4 linked regions of the Schizosaccharomyces pombe genome follow. The gene in region 1 interacts genetically with each later gene. Each region holds a gene or a part of one and is shown in the gene's direction. Other genes may lie near its edges.

The links.
Region 2: of SPOM_SPBC713.07C (region 1) and dri1, changing one suppresses a phenotype caused by changing the other (phenotypic suppression), as found in Schizosaccharomyces pombe (one study listed by BioGRID).
Region 3: of SPOM_SPBC713.07C (region 1) and met16, changing one suppresses a phenotype caused by changing the other (phenotypic suppression), as found in Schizosaccharomyces pombe (one study listed by BioGRID).
Region 4: of SPOM_SPBC713.07C (region 1) and spc2, changing one suppresses a phenotype caused by changing the other (phenotypic suppression), as found in Schizosaccharomyces pombe (one study listed by BioGRID).

What each region holds. Positions count from the first base shown.
Region 1 is NC_003423.3:877,597-884,052, reverse strand, and holds SPOM_SPBC713.07C (polyphosphatase), read left to right. Parts: upstream 1-1,964; 5' UTR 1,965-2,400; coding exon 2,401-4,134; 3' UTR 4,135-4,224; downstream 4,225-6,456. Other genes in the region: MIM complex subunit Mim1, read right to left, coding at 1,378-1,593; adl1 (DNA ligase), read right to left, coding at 4,225-6,456. UniProt on the Schizosaccharomyces pombe protein: Catalyzes the hydrolysis of inorganic polyphosphate (polyP) chains of many hundreds of phosphate residues into shorter lengths.
Region 2 is NC_003424.3:2,008,562-2,013,397, reverse strand, and holds dri1 (RNA-binding protein involved in heterochromatin assembly Dri1), read left to right. Parts: upstream 1-1,692; 5' UTR 1,693-1,702; coding exon 1,703-3,493; 3' UTR 3,494-4,053; downstream 4,054-4,836. Other genes in the region: rRNA processing protein Ebp2, read right to left, coding at 1-466; rdl1 (RAD51D-like protein 1), read left to right, coding at 4,557-4,836. UniProt on the Schizosaccharomyces pombe protein: Mediates heterochromatin assembly by promoting RNAi-mediated heterochromatin silencing and histone deacetylation. Binds pericetromeric transcripts and recruits the RNA-induced transcriptional silencing (RITS) complex to heterochromatin.
Region 3 is NC_003424.3:2,305,228-2,309,428, forward strand, and holds met16 (phosphoadenosine phosphosulfate reductase), read left to right. Parts: upstream 1-2,296; 5' UTR 2,297-2,501; coding exon 2,502-3,302; 3' UTR 3,303-3,651; downstream 3,652-4,201. Other genes in the region: acyl-coA-sterol acyltransferase Are1, read left to right, coding at 118-1,731; arb2 (argonaute binding protein 2), read left to right, coding at 3,799-3,985, 4,032-4,201. UniProt on the Schizosaccharomyces pombe protein: The NADP dependent reduction of PAPS into sulfite involves thioredoxin which probably plays the role of a thiol carrier. Required for methionine synthesis.
Region 4 is NC_003424.3:3,862,275-3,865,434, reverse strand, and holds spc2 (signal peptidase subunit Spc2), read left to right. Parts: upstream 1-1,930; coding exon 1,931-2,434; downstream 2,435-3,160. Other genes in the region: ribosome methytransferase Hpm1, read right to left, coding at 1-912; protein Sil1, read left to right, coding at 2,700-3,160. UniProt on the Schizosaccharomyces pombe protein: Component of the signal peptidase complex (SPC) which catalyzes the cleavage of N-terminal signal sequences from nascent proteins as they are translocated into the lumen of the endoplasmic reticulum.

The sequences.
Region 1 (6,456 bases):
TTTGTGTGATCGTAGACTTCCTATTTGTGTTGGATGCGTACTAAAGTTTGCTTGGAATCCTGTTAATACATGTTTTTAAAAACCACTGAAAGTGTATAGCAATGCTTGTAGAGCGTATATCCAAGATTTAAATAATATGCTATGTAATTCTGTGCGATGGGTAATATAGTTAATTATTTAAATAGCTATAAAATATAGAACGACTACTGTTTAGGTTTGTCCATGCTACATCTTGGAAGAAAATAGAAATATAGTATTCTTGTTGGCTAATGCAATAAATCTTCAAGTTTATATAGCAAATTGTGAAGTCAGTATTCGTAAATTTGACAAAAATTTAATGATAATTTATTTTTTCAGATTTGCTGACTTTAAGTAGTCGGTATCTGCTTTTTATGCATAAACAAGAAGATTCAGTTCGAGGATCAGAATCCTTTTTTGTATCATCAAACTTGAAATTGTCTTATAACATCATTAAAGCCAACCGAGTGTACCAAGCATGCGATAATGTAAGTTTTAAGAATCATTCAAAAGTATATTTTTCAAAGCTTGAGCAACGACAGAAATAACCTGTAAAATTCTAATGAATCAATGGGCTGTGCAATCAATTTATAATCAGTTGAGATTTGTTGCTCTGAGAATAGTAATACTTACACGCCTTTACAAATAAGCGTGTTTTAGTCATTAAGTTAGAGCACTATCGTTGTTCGAATACAATAACAATTATTTAAAAAAGCGATGTGATGAGGAAAACAACAAAAAGCGTAGTACTGTCATTCAAATCAAAGTAATGTAAAAATAATGAACAATTTTAAACAATGATGATAGCTTCGATACTTGTCTCACAGCTCATATAAATCTTCGTTGACACCTTTTTCTATACTATGCTACTCAAATCAATTTGTCGGTCCGAAGAAGCGATGTATAACGTGTCACATAATGTTAATATAAAGGGCATAAATAAAATCAAAAGTAATTATACTTAAAAAACAGAAGAAGGAAGCTCAAGGAAAACGATCATAAATAAATTAAATGCAAAGGAAATTAAATGTTATTTTGCAAATATAAACACAATTCATTTGGGCTTAATTCGTTTTCCATCCCTTGAGCATATATATTCTTTGCATTGTGCCAAAGAAGCTCTTAATATTGTGGGAAAAGAAAATAAAAACAATAAAACTAAAGAAAACGATCATTAAAGAGAGTGCAAAGCTGAAACCATAATACATCTGAGAGAAACATGAGTTAAGCATTCGAGTATCTCAAATTTTATGAATACTCGCCTCAGCTTAAAATGAAAAAATAAAAAAATCACGAATAAGCAAACACCATTTCCCTCAAATATTAAAGATAAATTTCCTCGCACAGCTATGCTTCATTTTAGGCTTGAATATACTGATGTCTTTGAATAGAATAAATCCTAGTATGACCTGGAGCCCAACCAAGAGAGTGGATAAATGCATGAGCAAAGATCTCCCCGAATCCCAACATAACTCCATTCAAGAAAGGAAGGCCCAAATTAATTGCCGCATACTTGAAAATATGAATAACTTGTGAAAACAAGGTTTTTGGAACTGTAACTGTATTTTTCTCCATCCTGCTTGTCCAACAAATACTATAACGAAACGAACCAACCGGTAATCAACACAATTTTCAAATAACTCCTTTAGAGAAGTTTTTATATCAACTTTCAAAGCAATTGCACGAATAATATTTTTGGCGTAAATTCTATTATTAAGAATCAACTGAGTTGATGGGGCAAGTATATGTGGAAGGATACTTTATTCCCAATCAAAATTACGAGTGTCCCGTTCTTAGATGCTGTCAACGCTTTAAGGCGTCAGGACAATGGTTAATGAGCAAAACACTTTCCTCCTTATTCATTTAACGAAATTAAGTTAGTAACTAATACCGTAATGCAAGCTCTGACAAAATATAAAATGCGACATCTTTCATCATACATATATAGCGGTGAACACAACATTCGTCTTCACTAGGGAAGAGTATCACGGATCTTTTAACTGCTTCCATTACGAGCATCGAATAGTCCAAACCCAAATTAAGTGTTCTCTGGGGTTTGCAAAGCTCAGAAGCAACTTCTATTGACTCTGCAGGACTTCGGTTCATGACTACCCGCTCGTGATCTTAATTTAGATCGATCTTTTTGTCAAACAGATTAACAATACTTATTTCATTAACGGCTACTGGGAAATTTTGATTTATTTAAGTTGTACTGAGTTCAAAAGCCCTTGAATCTTTCAAACACCATTTTTTGTTTTTGAAATTGCCTGGGAAATTGTATTACAGATTTTGGAAAATTTCGTCCTAGTCTGAAGTGTCCTCTTTTTTTCTACTTAGGTAAAGTTTTTTTTTCTTTTATATACCGATTTCCTTCTTTTTAGAATGCGTCCCTCTGTAATCACGGTTGCTGTTCTTTTTGTACAGTCGACATGGGCTTCTTTTGCATTTGGCAACCCTATGAGTATGCGAAATAAAGCGCATACAAATGATTTAGTTAATAGCAAAGGAAAACCACTTGTTGGTAGATTTTTGCATATCACCGATATGCATCCTGACATTTATTACGAAAAAGGATCCACCGTCGATCATTATTGTCATTCCTATGATCATAATTCTGACGATACTCCCTTGGGTAAAAGCAAAGTGGGTTACCTCTCTCCTGGTCCTGGTTATGAATGTGATTCTTCACCAGCATTAATTGATAAGACATTGGAATGGCTTAAGGAACATCAAGATGATGTTCTGGGAGGCATTGACTTCATACTGTGGACTGGTGATAATTCTAGGCATGACAATGATAACCATTTTCCAAGAACACAAAGTGAAATTCTTGCTTCAAATGAGGACTTGGTTAATAAAATGATAGAGGCGTTTCCTGACGTTCCAATTGTTTCCGCTATCGGGAATAATGATATATATCCTCATAACATTATGGAAGCTGGTCCATCTTCAATGACTCGACAACTAGCTGGTGCTTGGGATGCTTTAATTCCTTATGAGGAACGACACACTTTTGAAAAGGGCTCTTATTACCTATGTGATGTGATTCCGGACAAGCTAGCAGCAATTTCCATTAACACTCTTTACCTATCAAACAAAAATGCCGCGGTCGATGGTTGTCCTGATGATAATCTAGACGAACCTGGTTCTCTTTTTATGCGATGGTTCAAAATACAGCTTGAAGCGTATCGGCTAAAGGGAATGAAAGTTTGGCTTCTAGGACATATTCCCCCTACAAGGGGCCAGTGGTATGAAGATTGTTATACTTCTTTTACGGATTTGCTTTATGAGTTTCGAGATATTATAGTTGGACAACTCTATGGTCATATGAACATAAACCATTTTGTGTTTTTGGAATTCGATAAGTTACCTGTTGATACAGAATCTTATGGAATCAAAAGTGCGCAACCAAAATATGTAAAATCTTTAATTGATGCCCAATACGCGGAGCTTCCTACATTTCCCGAGAATTTAACAGAGGAGTTTCTTAATGGAACCGTCGGGAATTACTCCTTGGCTACCGTTGGTGGTTCGATTATACCTGAAATGTTTCCAACTTTTCGCGTTTACGAGTACAATATTTCTGATATTGCTAATCAGCTGGATGATCGGGAAGAGCTAACTGAAATCACTTCTTTTAACTGGGAAACGCTTGAAGAGCAGTCTCAATCAGATTATGAGATAGACAAGAAAAAGAAGAAAAAAAAGAAGAATAATAAAAAAAAGAAGAAGAACAAGAGGAAGAATATTAAGCCCGGTCCTTTGGGACCGGCATACGTTCCGTCACTTTTTACTCCTATTTCATTTAAGCAGTATTTCTTAAACACGTCAAATTACATGGATGCAACGAAAGATACCGAAATTTCTTATGAATTGCTATATACTTCGAAGGACTCTCCATATAATATGCCTGATTTAACTGTGCCAGAGTATATGCGTCTAGCAAAAAGAATAGCAACTTGTGACAAACCAGAAGATCCTCATCAATTCAAATTACAGAGTGGCGATCAAAACACTTTTAGAATTTCTAAAAAGAAGAAGCCATCTATTTGTCCGATAGCCTATACATATCTTTGGCATGCGTATATTGGTTCAATATCGGATTTTGAGGACTGATGATTGATATATTTGTTGCCATACCTTTAATAATATTTATTTAATATACAATCAACGATGTTCCTTGACATTTTGAGTTCATCACGAACATCAAGTATTAAGTTGTTTCATATACATGTCAGCCAATATTGAATTCGTGGATGCGTCCTCTGGTCCTTTGTCTGACCGAACTCTAATGAAGCGTGGGAATCGAATTGATAAACCGCGATCATCCTGAATTAATCCCAAAGCCGCCTTGTATGCAGGTGAGGATGTTATTTGAGCACCCTTAATTTCCCAAACTTCTTGAGGGGCAAAGTATATTTGTGGAGTTACCTTACCTGTTTCGCAAAAATTATATATGGGTTTAAGACTGCTATTGCCAGATTCTAAGGAATACTTTTGTGTTAATTCCTTATAAAATTGGTCACTAAAACCGGACATGCATTTACAGACTGCTTCATACGCGCCAGTGTCTGGATTGTAAACAGCAAGCAAAATTGGACTGAACCATCCGGCTTTTCTTCCATTACCGTACCAAGCGCCTATGGGAACAAGATCCAATGACTCAAATTCATCATCATAATCCTGTTTGACTTTAATCCATCCCTCACCTCTTTTATCAGGTTCATACGTTGAAGGAAACTTTGAGTTTGTTCCATTCAGTACCTTCACCATTAATCCTTCGCATTTATTAGTAATTGCAAGACTAAAAAATTCTTGAATGGATTGCTCCTCATTTGTTTCCAAAGAAGACACGAACTGAAAGCGATTTGGAATTAAATTAAAATGCTCAAAAAACATTCTTCTTCTTTCAATTAAAGGCATTTGTAAGCAAGATTTCCCATCACAAAACATAATATCAAAAACAAAAACACACACGTCTATTGTAATATCAGCCACTGTAACTTTTTTTCTTTCTCTAGTTGAAAGTTTTTGAAAATCCAGTATCTGACCATTACTTTTGTCAATAGCCACCAATTCGCCTTCTATAATAAAATCACATGAATGTTTCAATGCTAATTGAGCAACTTCAATGACATCCGGAAATCTTCCTGTAATTTCCTCCAAATGGCGGCTAAATATCTTAATGTTTCCAAGTCTATCGCAATGAATTTGTGCTCTTTGTCCATCGTACTTGAACTCACAAGAGAAGTTATGATCAGTCAATCTTTCTAACATATGCTGCAAATTCTTTGTGATAGAACCAAGCATAGGTTTTACTGGGATTCCAGGGCGAATAGACATATTGTCTTTTAAGTTTTCTATCCCCTCTCGAAGAAGGGTTGCAACCAAAATGTTATAATCAGGGACCTGAAAGAAACTTTGTTTAACAATCTCTTCTCCTTGACGAAATTGTTGTTGAAGTGAGTCAGAATTAAAATTAAATATTTCGTTTTGATTGTCAAAAATAAAAAAAGCTTTGCTTAGTGAAGCTAACATGGTGTTTTGAACAGCCCCTATTCTTAGATTTTGCATTATACTCCTCCCTATATATCGAACCTCCTCAGCATTAGAACTTATCAATAAAAATTTAGTTAACTCTAATTTACGGTTCTGGGCACCATTACCGTTACTGTCAGCAATCTTTAGTAAAGTAGAATAAACCTTCTTAATAGTCAAAGGTTCTGGTCTGCTTAACGTGCGCACAGACACTTTAGCTTCGAACGCTACATCTCCTGGATCGCCATATTTGTTCCATAAATTTTTCAAAGCACTTGCTGTAATGCCACAAACTTCTTTCAAAGCTTTAGAGTACATTGCAGGTCCGACACCAAGGTTTTTTCCATAAAAGTTGGGGGCAATAGAATTGGTACATAACCAAACTGTTGCAATTAAGGAATCAGGATCTGCATACAGAAGTGTGAGAAGGAAATTGGTTAATAATGTGACAATGCGTATCCTGGATTTGGTAGAACTAATTAAGGAAAAGGTGTTAGCAAGTGATGAGTAACTGAAGCTTTTTGTATCTTTTGAAACAAATCGGGCTCGACAACTTTTCACGTAAGTCAAAGGATCTTTCTGTAAAGCATCGTAATCAATTGTGGAATCTTTGTTCACGCTATCAGTTGAGAAAAAAGAAGCTTTGCATTCTTCGCTTGTAACTAAATTCTCCTTAGGTTTATCATTGCTTTCTTTTACAACATTAAATGTGTCAGTATGATACTCTTCTTCAGGTATAATTACATCTTTAGGAAGCTTTTCCGGAGCAGTAGCTTGGTTCTCAGAATCAAAAAGCTGTTGAAGCTTTAATGCATAAGCATAATCGCTGGCGCTTTGATCGTGATCGGTGAGCAATTTGTTTGGTGTATCTGTAAGCTGTGCTTCTCGTTTTGAAAACAA
Region 2 (4,836 bases), on another chromosome or scaffold:
TGGCAAAAGCCGCCTTTACAGAGCTCACACCTTGTTTATAAAAGGCCAGTTCACGGGCAAGATCATCCTCAACATTTTCAATTATTATAGGCTCCTTAGTAGTAACAGCTTGGTTTTCAACAAACGAAATATCATCAGGATATTTAATTCGTTCATAGATGTTCTCTAGTGCAACAGTGTTATTTATAGCTAATTTTCTTTTTCTAATCAAATCAGCGTCTTCTTCCAACTCAATTCCTTCAAGATCAGAAAGTTCAACTTCATCTGATCCCTCAGATTCGTTCTCTTGATCAGCTGTATCAGCTGTTTCAATAATAGGAGATTTAATGGTATTGATCATTTCTTTCTCATTTAATGCCTCAACAGAAGTAGAAGATTCATTGCTTTCCTTGTTTTTCTTTTCCTTCATAGCAGCTTTAGCTGCCTTTTTCTGAGCTCTTCTTTGCTTTGATTCTATTCCTGCCATCGTTGTAGTCTAGTGTGTATTCTACACAAAGCTGAATTTGAATATTTTTCAAAGGTTTTGAAAAATTTGCTTTGTGCTACTTTGATTAATACAATCTACGATTAGGCTAACGGTGACAAAGATTTTTACTATTGCAGTTCACATCAAATAATAAAGAGCACATTTAGAATCGCTAAGCTGATTAACGTTGCGTTATATTACTCTTAGTCTTCATTTAGGTTGTACGGAAGGCATTTAATAAATCCTTAACGTAAATTTTAACCCTTTATTTGTCCGTATAAAATTCGTTGTATCAATTTTAAGCTATAACTTGGTCGCATTTTATCGATTGTAGAGTTATTGCTGATAAATTTATGTTTTGCTACATTACACCAACTCTAATTGAAATGACGGTAATTTAGTAAATTATCAGTTGTGTAAGTAAATTACTATCAGCTTTTTTATGTAGCAAGATGTACAAATACTTTTCAATGGATGGCTTTTCAGTATAACTTTTCCCTTGACTTCCTGATACAATTGTCAAAATAAACAACAGTTCTTTGATTGTTTACGTGGTTACAAAAAACCCCGGTATTGTTCATAAGATGTAAGCTACGCAGTTTGGTATCTGATTTAAGGATACGTAGAACTGCGGTGAGTTTTCCTTGTGATCTATTATATTACAATACACAGGTTGTATAAGTAGCAACTGAGTATAGGTATTGTATTAACTGGGTTATAATGTTAACTATCACTAATATAGCTCATAACTGAACTGAGGAACGAGGTTCAGCAGTAGCTCTATTTATAGTATTCAGATAATATTGATCTTAATAGATTATCATTAAGATCAATCTCCATATCGTATTATACATGGTACGATATATAATTAGAACATGTGACATATAGTGATACTCAACGTAGTGTAGTATTGCTGACATAAGAATACCAAATGCTTGATGCGCTAAATTATGGTATAATAATTTATCGTAAAATTTTCATTTTCATTGTGTTTCGAAAGTATTGCTAAATTTTCTGCTTTGCATGCAAAAGAATCCCACAACAATACACGATTCGACAGTAACATCAGTTGTACATATTATTGTTCATAAAAGATTTTTCTCCTTTGAATAATTCCGCTTAGGTGGATTCTAAATCTAGATTTGTTACTTTTGTGACTGTACTTGTGAGTGACAAAGAAAAACACCAACGGGTTTGTAGCTTTGCAATATCATGTCAAAGCTACCAAGTCCAACAATGCCTCTGCCAGAATCGGTAGGCGACTTGGTTGTTTTGCACTTTGAAACAAATCTTGACGATCACGGCATTAGCATTGGCCGGGCGCCATGTGAAATTCATGAAATATGCTGGGTTATATTAGATGGAAAAACTTTGGAAAAACAACACTGTGAATCGTGTAGTATTCGTGAAGATAGTTCTCGTCATGGAATTTGTGGTTCTGCTAGTTCCTTAACTGAAGCTATCTTCACATTGGATAATTCAATCCAAGAACGATTAAACTTCCAAGGAAAACCTTTTACATTTGTTGTTATGAATGGAAGAGAGCTTCGTGTATTATTGCCAAAAGAAGCACGGGATCAGGGAATTACGCTACCTTCCTACATGCGCCATCCTCGCTTGTTTGATTTATCAAGCGAATACGCCAAGTGGCAGATTCGCATGGGTGCAGTACCACCATACACAATAACGCTTTCTCATATTTTTGGTAAATTAGATGTCGACTCTTTACCACCTATTACAGAGTCAAAAGCAATTGAATTATCACCTTCAGATGCTCCTTACATAACCAAAGGTCTTACTCAATGCTGGCGCCTTGCAAATGCTACCACCTTATTGCTTCGTAAAGCAGAGAAAGATTCTCGAGGTCATTCTCTTCCTTCGGTGCTTACACAACCCATTAACTGTCAAGCAGACGCACGAAGCTTTTATGCAGAACGGTCAAAAATTGTACACGTTGCAGGTTTGACCAACGATGTAACACAGCTCGAGTTGGAAAGTTGGTTTACTAATCATGGGGTTCATCCCGTAGCTTTATGGACTTTAAAGACTCCCGAACCTTACAAATCTACGGGTACAGGTTTTGTGCTATTTGCTAGTCATGAAGATGCTGCCGATGCTCTTGCCTTTAATGGATATTGCTTAGGAGATCGGATGCTGGAAATTATTCCCAGTAGTACAAAGGTTTTAGATAAAGCTTCAGACATTCTAATTCCTTTTCCTTCTAGTAAGAATCGCCCACGCCCTGGGGATTGGAATTGCCCAATGTGCGGTTTCAGCAATTTTCAACGTCGAACGTCTTGTTTCCGATGCTCATTTCCTGGTCCTACTCATGTTTCAGCTGCTACTGGTAGCAATACTTTTTCACCTGATTTCCCTTATGGAAATTCATACGGCAACGGCTCCTCTCACTTTATTGCCAACTATGGTGGATCTGTCCATCATTCTAACGAAAATACCATGCAAAGTGATCTTCAGCATCAGAATGGCAATAATGCTGTAAATCATCATCATTCTTCACGCTCATTCGGTGGTAATGTCCCTTTTCGTGCTGGTGATTGGAAATGTGGCTCTGAGGGTTGTGGATATCACAATTTCGCAAAAAATGTTTGCTGCTTACGCTGTGGGGCTAGCCGTGCTACAGCTGCAGTCGTAGCAGATCATGCATCTGGGCCGGTGAATGGTTCGTATAGTCATAATTCATATTCTCACATCCCCCCTGTTATGAGTACAAGTCCTCCTAATCATTCGGTGTATCCTTACTCACAACTTTCTATAAATTCAGTAACGGCTAATCATGGTCAAAATTTTGGGGGACAAAATGGTGGTAATGTATCTAGGTTCGATGATCATGGACGCTTTAAAGAAGTATCACGTCCTTCCGTTACTACTGATCAAGGCGATTGGTTATGTGAGTGTGGATTTACTAATTTTCGTCGCCGCAGTAATTGTCTCCGTTGCAATGCTCCGCATTACTCTAATATGCAGATTCCTGCATCCTTGCCTTCGGATTTCAATGCTTACGTGTAAAGTTGGACAATTATATTTAATGGATAGGTCCCGTAGTACAAAGGATATTTGGTAAACACTATAGCTAAAAATGCAAGTGATTAGTGCGATAAAAATAATCACTTATGTCTTGAAGGAGCAAATTTGATGAAACAATTGTTATTATTTAAAGGCAGCATTTTGAAAAGCAACTCTATTGGAACAAAAATTTAAAAGTTGTATTGGGTTTTCTTATGAAGGTTTTGCATAAACATTGAATTACAGGTGTGGTCAAAATTAGTTCATAATTTTCTTTGGTGGGTTTTTTTCTTCTATTTAGTGCTATTTAATTTTTGACCTTGAAGAAATTTTCGGGGAAAAAACAGCAGTCAATCGTATAGAGCTCTCCCATATTTGGGATTTGGGGATTCATTTGTTTTGGAGTGTCACACTCATTGAACGTTTGAAAAAATGGTTGTTTACCTCTTACAGTTGTCAGTGCTGTTCAAATTTATAGGGTTCTTCGGTAAATAATGTATTGTTAATATTCCTTTTTTTTATTATATAATTTATAAAAATTTTGTAACGATAATGATTAAATCAATCGATACATGAGGTTACTTGTAATACATGGCATTATTAGAGAGAATTAAATTCGCATATGTAGCATTTAAAAACAGTTAGTTGATGCTTTTCTATTTTTTCTTTTTATTCTTAAAGGGTTATTCTCAATATATACAAATCCACACCAGTGTGGCTATATACTGTACTCGAATGTTGACGACCTTTCTGCTTCTTTAATCCATACCCTAATTAAATATAATCCATGTAGATAGTTCAACAAAAAACATGAGATAAGATTCAACACACACTCATGATTAGTTAAATACTTGTTGAACATTCCGGAAATTTTTGACGATTGTACGTATCTTTTCCTTCAACGCATTTGGGTGTTTATCTCTTTTAGAATGCCATTAGCATAACCAGGGGATGATTGCAAAAATCAATTTCATTGATCATCAATATCGTTGGAAAAAACAATTCTATCGAAAGTTTAAAGCATACCAAGCAAATTCTTAAAGCAGCTTATATATTTTCTGACATTATGAATCAGGTTACTCAATTTAGTGGAAATTCTGCAAACTTGATGCTTTACTGGATTCTAAAAAGTTATTACTCTAGGTTTGATAGAATTATGTGGATTGATACTTTAGGTACTTTCAATCCGGCTGCACTCCCTCTTCCATGTCTTGAAAAAACTATGTTGGTTAGATCATTCGATGCTCAGGGATTGAAGGATGCAGTTGATGAGTTGGAAAGCAATCTCAAAAGCTCCGAAGATCAAGCATATGCATTGTGTATAGATTCCTTTTCTAATCCCATTG
Region 3 (4,201 bases), on another chromosome or scaffold:
AAGAATCAACGTTCATAGATCTACATTAATATTTATTTTCTTACCTCCTTATCACCATTTGCTAGTTGGTTTGAATACTATTTGTTTCTTCTCATTGCAAGCTTGACCGATTGAAGTATGACAGATACTCCTAGGATATTGATTACTCCATCTCCGCTTAGCGATATAAGCACAACGATTAACAAACCAAATGTTCATCCCAGTATGAGTCTATTGAAGGCTCTTCCCGAATGCCGACTCGTTGTCAAATCCAAGGGTGATAAAAATAACGCAAACGTTGTTGAATTTCCTCTGGATCGTCATAAACAATTATTAATTGCAGGAAAAGTTTACCATGATTATAAGTTTAAGCCTCGTAAATCGATTTTTGATCGTGTAACCGATCCTAATTATTTCGCAAAAAGTGAGTTTAGAGGGTTTTATGTGCTTTTTTGGCTTTCAATGGCTGCATGGGTACTACAGTTATATGCAAGAAGTTATTGGCAACGCGATACTTTGCTTGGTTTACCACTAGCTAGACAGGTCTTTCGCCAGTTTTTCGTGTTGTTTAGCTCAGATTTCCTTATGATTTGCCTCAGCTTTTTTAGTTATGGTTTACAAGTGTGTATTGAGAAGAACATGATTAGATGGGCTAATTTGGGTTACACAATCCAAACTTTGTGGCAGGGCTTTTATATGGTGTTAGCTGTCTATTGGGTTAAGCATCGAGATTTTCCAATTGTTCAATGTGTTTTCTTCACGCTGCATTGTGCCGTTCTAATTATGAAACAATTTTCTTATTCTCACCATATGGGCTATATCAGTGAGATTCGTATATTGCATAATGAATACGAAAAACTTTTAAAGTTTGTTCGTGAATGCCTGAATTCCACCGAGAAAGATGAGAAATACACGTTTGAACTGACTTTTCCCAATAAGCCTGCTGAAACGATATCTACATTGCAGGCAGAAGAAATTGTCGCTTTAACAGCAAAATATTTGTCACGCCAGATGCGTAGCGAAGTGGGCAATGTTGTTTATCCTGATAACATCAATTTCTTTAATTACGTTGATTATTTATTAGTTCCATCCCTTGTCTATAGTATGGAGTTTCCTAGAGTTGCCCATTTCCGTTGGCATTATATGGCATTTAAAGCAGGCTCCACATTCGGTTTACTAGCTCTCACCTTGGCTCTTGTAGATTGGTATTTCGTTCCAAGTGCTGTGGCTGTCAAAGATCTTGACTTCATAGGGAAGCTACGCATTGCTCCCTTGTTAATGAACAAAATTATGTTTCCCGCTATCATACTTTACCTTATCATGTTTTACCTGATTTTTGATTGCATTCTTAATGCATTTGCTGAAATCACTAAATTTGCCGACCGTGGATTTTATGGTGCTTGGTGGAATACAGTTACATGGGATGAATTTTCGCGCGAATGGAATAAGCCTGTCCACGTTTTTCTCATGAGACATGTTTACCATTCATCAATTTCCGGTTTCAAATTAAAAAAATCTCACGCTGTTCTACTCACTTTTTTAATTTCCGCTCTTGTACACGAATTTGTGATGCTGCTCGCAACTGGTAAATTCCGGTGTTACATATTAACATTTCAATTATTACAAATTCCTCTTTATGACCTCCAACAAATGTTTGCTTTCAAAAAACGCGATATCCTTGGTAATGTGTTTTTCTGGATTGGAATGTTCACTGGTCCTTCATTTTTATGTATCTTATACATTGTCTTTTAGTATTTGTTTATGAGTTTGGTGGGTTTATTAGGCTAAGACTTTTTCTTATCATTCCCTTTTTGTCGGATATTTATTCTGGTTCTTGGAGTTGTAAATTAATTGCTTAAAACAAAGTGCCCTTTTTTTGCATATTGGATTTACGAAGGTTTATACCATAAAAAATTTTTTTCGTCTCCTTATTACACACCTTTAATATTAACTATAATATACAAAACGTTATAAAAGATTTGTGCATCAACCTTTGACTAACGTTATTGAAATAATTAAAGAGAAATTTTTAGTTCATTAGAGTTATAAATTTAAAACCAAAAATAAAAAAACGGTGTAGTAACATTAAAATGCGCAAAATCTCTCTCTTTCATCTCGTATTTGATACATTTAATAATATTCATTTATTCTAGTATACAATTCACTAACTATACTTAAATGCTAATGATCTTATTCTTTTTTTCTACAATTTACTATTACCAACTAAAATAGGTATCGTCTTGTTACCTCTTCCTTTGTAAGCATCGATGCAGATCTTCCGTAATAATTATTTTCCAAACCTGTCTGACTATTCTCTAAAAGTCTTACAGAGCACACCAATAGCTTCTATAAAACTATAAAAGTAAGTGTAAGTAAAATTTTTCTGCGTACACGACTCAAATTTTTTTTTTGGTTTTTTTGAAAAGTTTTCGACTTTTTATCTTCGGTTTAAACCATTGGTTCCTCGCCGACATAATTGATTTCGTCCCAAATTTTGGTTTTTCTAATTTATTGTACTCAATATGAGCTCAATCGATACGCCTGCTAATAAATTGCAAGCGAAAACCTTGTTTCACCCAGAACATCTCGAATACATCAACAAGCAGTTATCGGAGCTTAGTCCTCAAGATATCTTAAAATGGTGCCGTTGGACACTTCCTTCTTTGTTTCAAACATCTGCGTTAGGACTGTCCGGGCTTGTTATTATGGACATGTTATCGAAAATGGATATGAATGTTCCTCTGATTTTTATCAACACACTTCATCATTTCCCAGAAACACTGGATCTTCTTGAAAAAGTCAAAACTAAGTATCCTAACGTGCCTGTTCACGTCTATCGTTGTGCTGAAGCAGCCAACGAAAAGGAATTTGCTCAGAAGTTTGGTGAGAAGCTTTGGGAGACAGATGAATCTCGGTATGACTTTTTAGTCAAAGTGGAACCAGCAAGTCGTGCTTATTCTGACTTAAATGTACTTGCTGTGTTTACTGGCCGCCGCCGTAGTCAAGGTGGAGAGCGCGGATCTTTGCCCATTGTTCAGCTGGATGGACCAGTATTAAAGATCAACCCCTTGGCTAACTGGTCTTTTACTGAAGTTCATAATTATATTATTACAAACAACGTTCCATATAATGAACTTCTGAACAAGGGTTACAGATCAGTTGGTGACTGGCACTCTACTCAACCAGTTAGAGAAGGTGAAGATGAACGTGCCGGACGTTGGCGCGGTCGAGAGAAAACAGAATGTGGATTACACAGTCATCCTCAAAGTAAATTCGCACAATATATGGCGGAGCTTAAAAAGAAGGAGACGGCTGATCAGTGAAACAATCCTTTTGTGCAATGTTGTAAACTGCTTTTTTGTTATCGAAGTGCACCATATGAAAAAATACGGCATTTTTAAGTAGACAATTCAAGAGTTTCTCTTTGTTTTAGTTGGTCATTGTGAGAAGGTTTTCAGCATACATTCTTAGTAAATGGGTTAAATTATTATCGTGACGAAGAAGGTTAGGGATACACTATGAAGAAACTTCTCGGTGTTTACACCTATACAAATAGATATATTAGAAATAAGATGATTTAATTATCAAAAAATTGAAGTGGTTTATACGTTGAAATTTGAAGACCTAAAACCATATGAACTTACAATGCTTTCCTCCTTTTTTTTATTAAATATATAGAATAAACTATGTAGTATTGATCTACAAATTCATATATATATTTTTTAACAACAAAAATTGAGTCACCATTCAATTATTTTGTAATGTCACCTACTACTAACCGACTTATCGTAATTTATTATTGGTAAGTAGGCCTTACATATGTTTAGGAAAAAGAAATCCCGTGTACTCCAAAGGGACGTCAACTTTGGGAATTGTCTTGAAGACATGAATCTCCAAATTACCAACGATTTTTACTTGAGGAAGTTGAACGCGCCAAATGAGCTATATGAATTTCAAGTTACCAAAGATAAAGAGTACAACGAAAAATTCTATTTTGCTGTACTTGGTAGGGTAATCATTTAATTCAGGAGTTAACTTGCAATTGAAATTAGATCACGTTTACAGTTGGACTTTACAAAATTCCCTTCTAACACGAATATCTATACCATTGGAATCTTCACCGTCAGAACCACATAGTTGGATATATGCAACACGAAATTGGCAAACTAATGAAAATGGAATAGTTATAATTATACAGTCAATGTCGCACCCCTTAATCTGG
Region 4 (3,160 bases), on another chromosome or scaffold:
AATTGCTTTAAGAGAATTAGGGTCATCAACAAGTTTCTGCAGTCTCGAATTAAATTCCAAGATACTACCCCCGACTCCAAAATACAAATCCTTACCAGCAACTAATGCGAGATTTTTGGTATTTTTGAGAAGCATGTAAAGAAAGTTTTCGAGTGACGGAAGGGAATAAATGGTTTCAGAAGCTAAAACAAGAGAAAAGTAGTGATCTCCGTAGGTACGTTGGATTAACAATTGCATCTCTTCGCTCCAACAACCGCACAAGAATTCACAATAGATATTGGTACGAGCAAGATCATCACTAAATTCTTGTAGTAAACTAGGGGATACATCGATGGTACCATGCTTTTCTGAAGAATCATGTTCTTGAGTACAAAAGTACCAGTTTAGCAAAAGGTTAGGTAAAGTAACGTAACGAAGAACATCAACATTGAAATCTTGGAAAACCAAAGTACAAGGGATACGATGCTTGTAAAATTCCTGAAAACAGCTCAAAATAGGAATTGCACTTCCACAACCCAACTCCAAGACCGTCGTCAAGTTGTTTTTTACAACATCTATCTTCTTGATTTCATTAGCAAGGTCCAGGCTACATTCCCAAGTTTTGTAACCACCCTCGTAAACGTTAGGAACAAGATCATTACAACCATCTAAAACTTTGAGTTTATCGTCGCTTTCTATGGAATCATCTTGTTCCATCAATTGCATTTTCACATCCCATAATTCCCTTTGTACAAACGTATGTCCTAACCCAGAAACACGAGCGTATGATAACTTTTCTGGAATATACTTCAACATATGTCCCAGAGAATCCGATTCTATAGCAACGCTCGGTAACGAATCCGCACCGACATCTTGGCCGTTTAAATTGTTTGGTTCATCGTAAAAGCCAAACGAAAACCCATTAGCTTGCATATTTGCAAGTTGATTGATTTCGCAACCTGTCTTGGCTTTAGTAGAAATTGTATGTCTTGATCCTAGTGTAGGATTTTTGCGTACAGCGGTACGACTCGTTCATGTAGACAAAATAGCAAAACCAATGTGAAGAGTAAAGAAAGAGTAATTACAATGAATTAAGGTTAAAAGTTTATTGAATGGTTAATTAATCATTACTCGTGGATAGAGAGAAAAGTTCCATTTTCAAATTCGTTCATACATTTTATTTGTAAAAAAGGCGAATTTCAGAAATTGGATTTAGGATTGGAGCCCTCGCAAGTGGCTCTGTCTTGCCTAAAAAACATTTGTATCAAACGAAATCAATATGCTTTGTAGTTTTTGCAATCTAGCTTTTCCTATAGAAAATAGCAATTGCTTGTTAAACGGTTTGTACCGGGTTCCTTATCTTCATTTGCATAATAACTTACAATTAGCGAGTGAAAATTGAATAAATAAAAGCGAGGAATATGTTCATCGAGGGATATCACTATTGGAACAAACAGGTTTTGCGAAAGGAAATATCAATATTGTACTCCTCTATTTTTTTACTAAACGCCAAGTACTGCTACATTCAAACAACATTTTCCATTTCATAATCCTTTTCAACAGTCATTGCGATTGCAATTCTGATATTATTATCGAGACAAGGAAATGAGCATGATATTTTGTACCAAATTAATTTGTTATGAAACCCTTCCGCCAATTTCTATTGAGAATCCATATATATTTTTTATTTGGCTATTATTTCAAATTTATGGCTCGTTGTATTTGAAAGAGCATGATAGTATTATAAAGTACTTAGTAATCGACTGTTTTGCTTTCGTTCCAGTAGCGGAGTTCATGTTTTTGCTCTCAGGCATTTATATTAAATATTAAAACATCTTTTAGGTTACTTAATTTTAAAAAATCATCATGCCATCGTATCAACGAAACCGCATATCTGATCATCAGTAACTACAGCCTTGCTTCCTCTACCATAATTAAGCTAATAGTAAAAATGCCAAAATATAACGTTTCAGATTTCAAATCTAAATTTGATAAAGAATTAACAAACCATTTTAACAAAAATGGTTATAAGCAATCCTTTGTATTTGAAGATATTCGTTTGCTGATCGCAATAGCTTGCATTATACCCGCCGGCCTCGCATTTGGCATTGAGTATGTTTATGGTTTTGGTGTTTTAAAATCTTACTTAAAGTATCTTTTACCTTTATATTTCCTAGCTTCCTGCTTGCTCACATTTTGGTCTTCTGTAGTCAAGGGTAGTACTGTTTATGTTGCTACGAAAAAAGAAAGACACATCAAAATTTCTGCGGATACCTTTTTACCTTTGAAAAATAAGCCTCTAATCACTACTAAATTTACCGTACTCAAAAACAGAAATGCTGTTCAACTTGAATGGTCGGTTCCTGTTGCTCACATTTTTGAAGAAGATGGCCAAATATCAAGTGCAACTTTTGAGGCGGAAATTTCAAAGTACTTGTCTCAAATTGAAAACTGATTGAGCTCAATTTTTTTAATCAATTCTCAATTTGAGTTGTTGCCAAAAAGCGAAATACTCAATTACTACATTTTCGTTAGAAGGCTTCCATGCCTGCCACAACGTCCGTATCGTATTCTTATTTTTTAACATGAATTTTATTGCTACGTTTTCCATTTACCAGCGGCAATTGCCTAATCATGCTATGGATTTTTTTTTCTTGAAATCTATCCTACCATAAACCACTCTCTAACAGGAGTGAAAAAATTGGAGATTAATCGGTTCAATGTTTTCGATTCTGGGAAACTCGTCTAAAAAGAAAAGAAATACTCAAATTTACAGAATTTTTTTTACTTTAACATTCTCTTTGTCGAATCTATTTCTTGCAATATGTTACCTTTTTTTGAATGTGAGGACTGTAAGCTCAGATTCATCTGTTTCACTTTACGATAGACAGTTGTTCGATCAGTCATCTTCTGTAATTTTAAATCCTGATACTTCAGACCCAAGCATTGTGTTGTCGTCTTTAGAAACAATGCGTGATTTGGCTCATGATATAAAATTTGGTCAGGATGTACTTGAACAGCCTCTGTGCGATCAACTTTTTGTTTTGATGGATGGGAAAGACTATCCAAATACGATTCGTTCAATGTCGTCTGTTGTTTTGGCATCAGCGCTTAGCAATAATTTCATAGCTCAGAAAAAGGCTTTAGAAATGAATATTATGCCAAAAATTGTGAACACTTT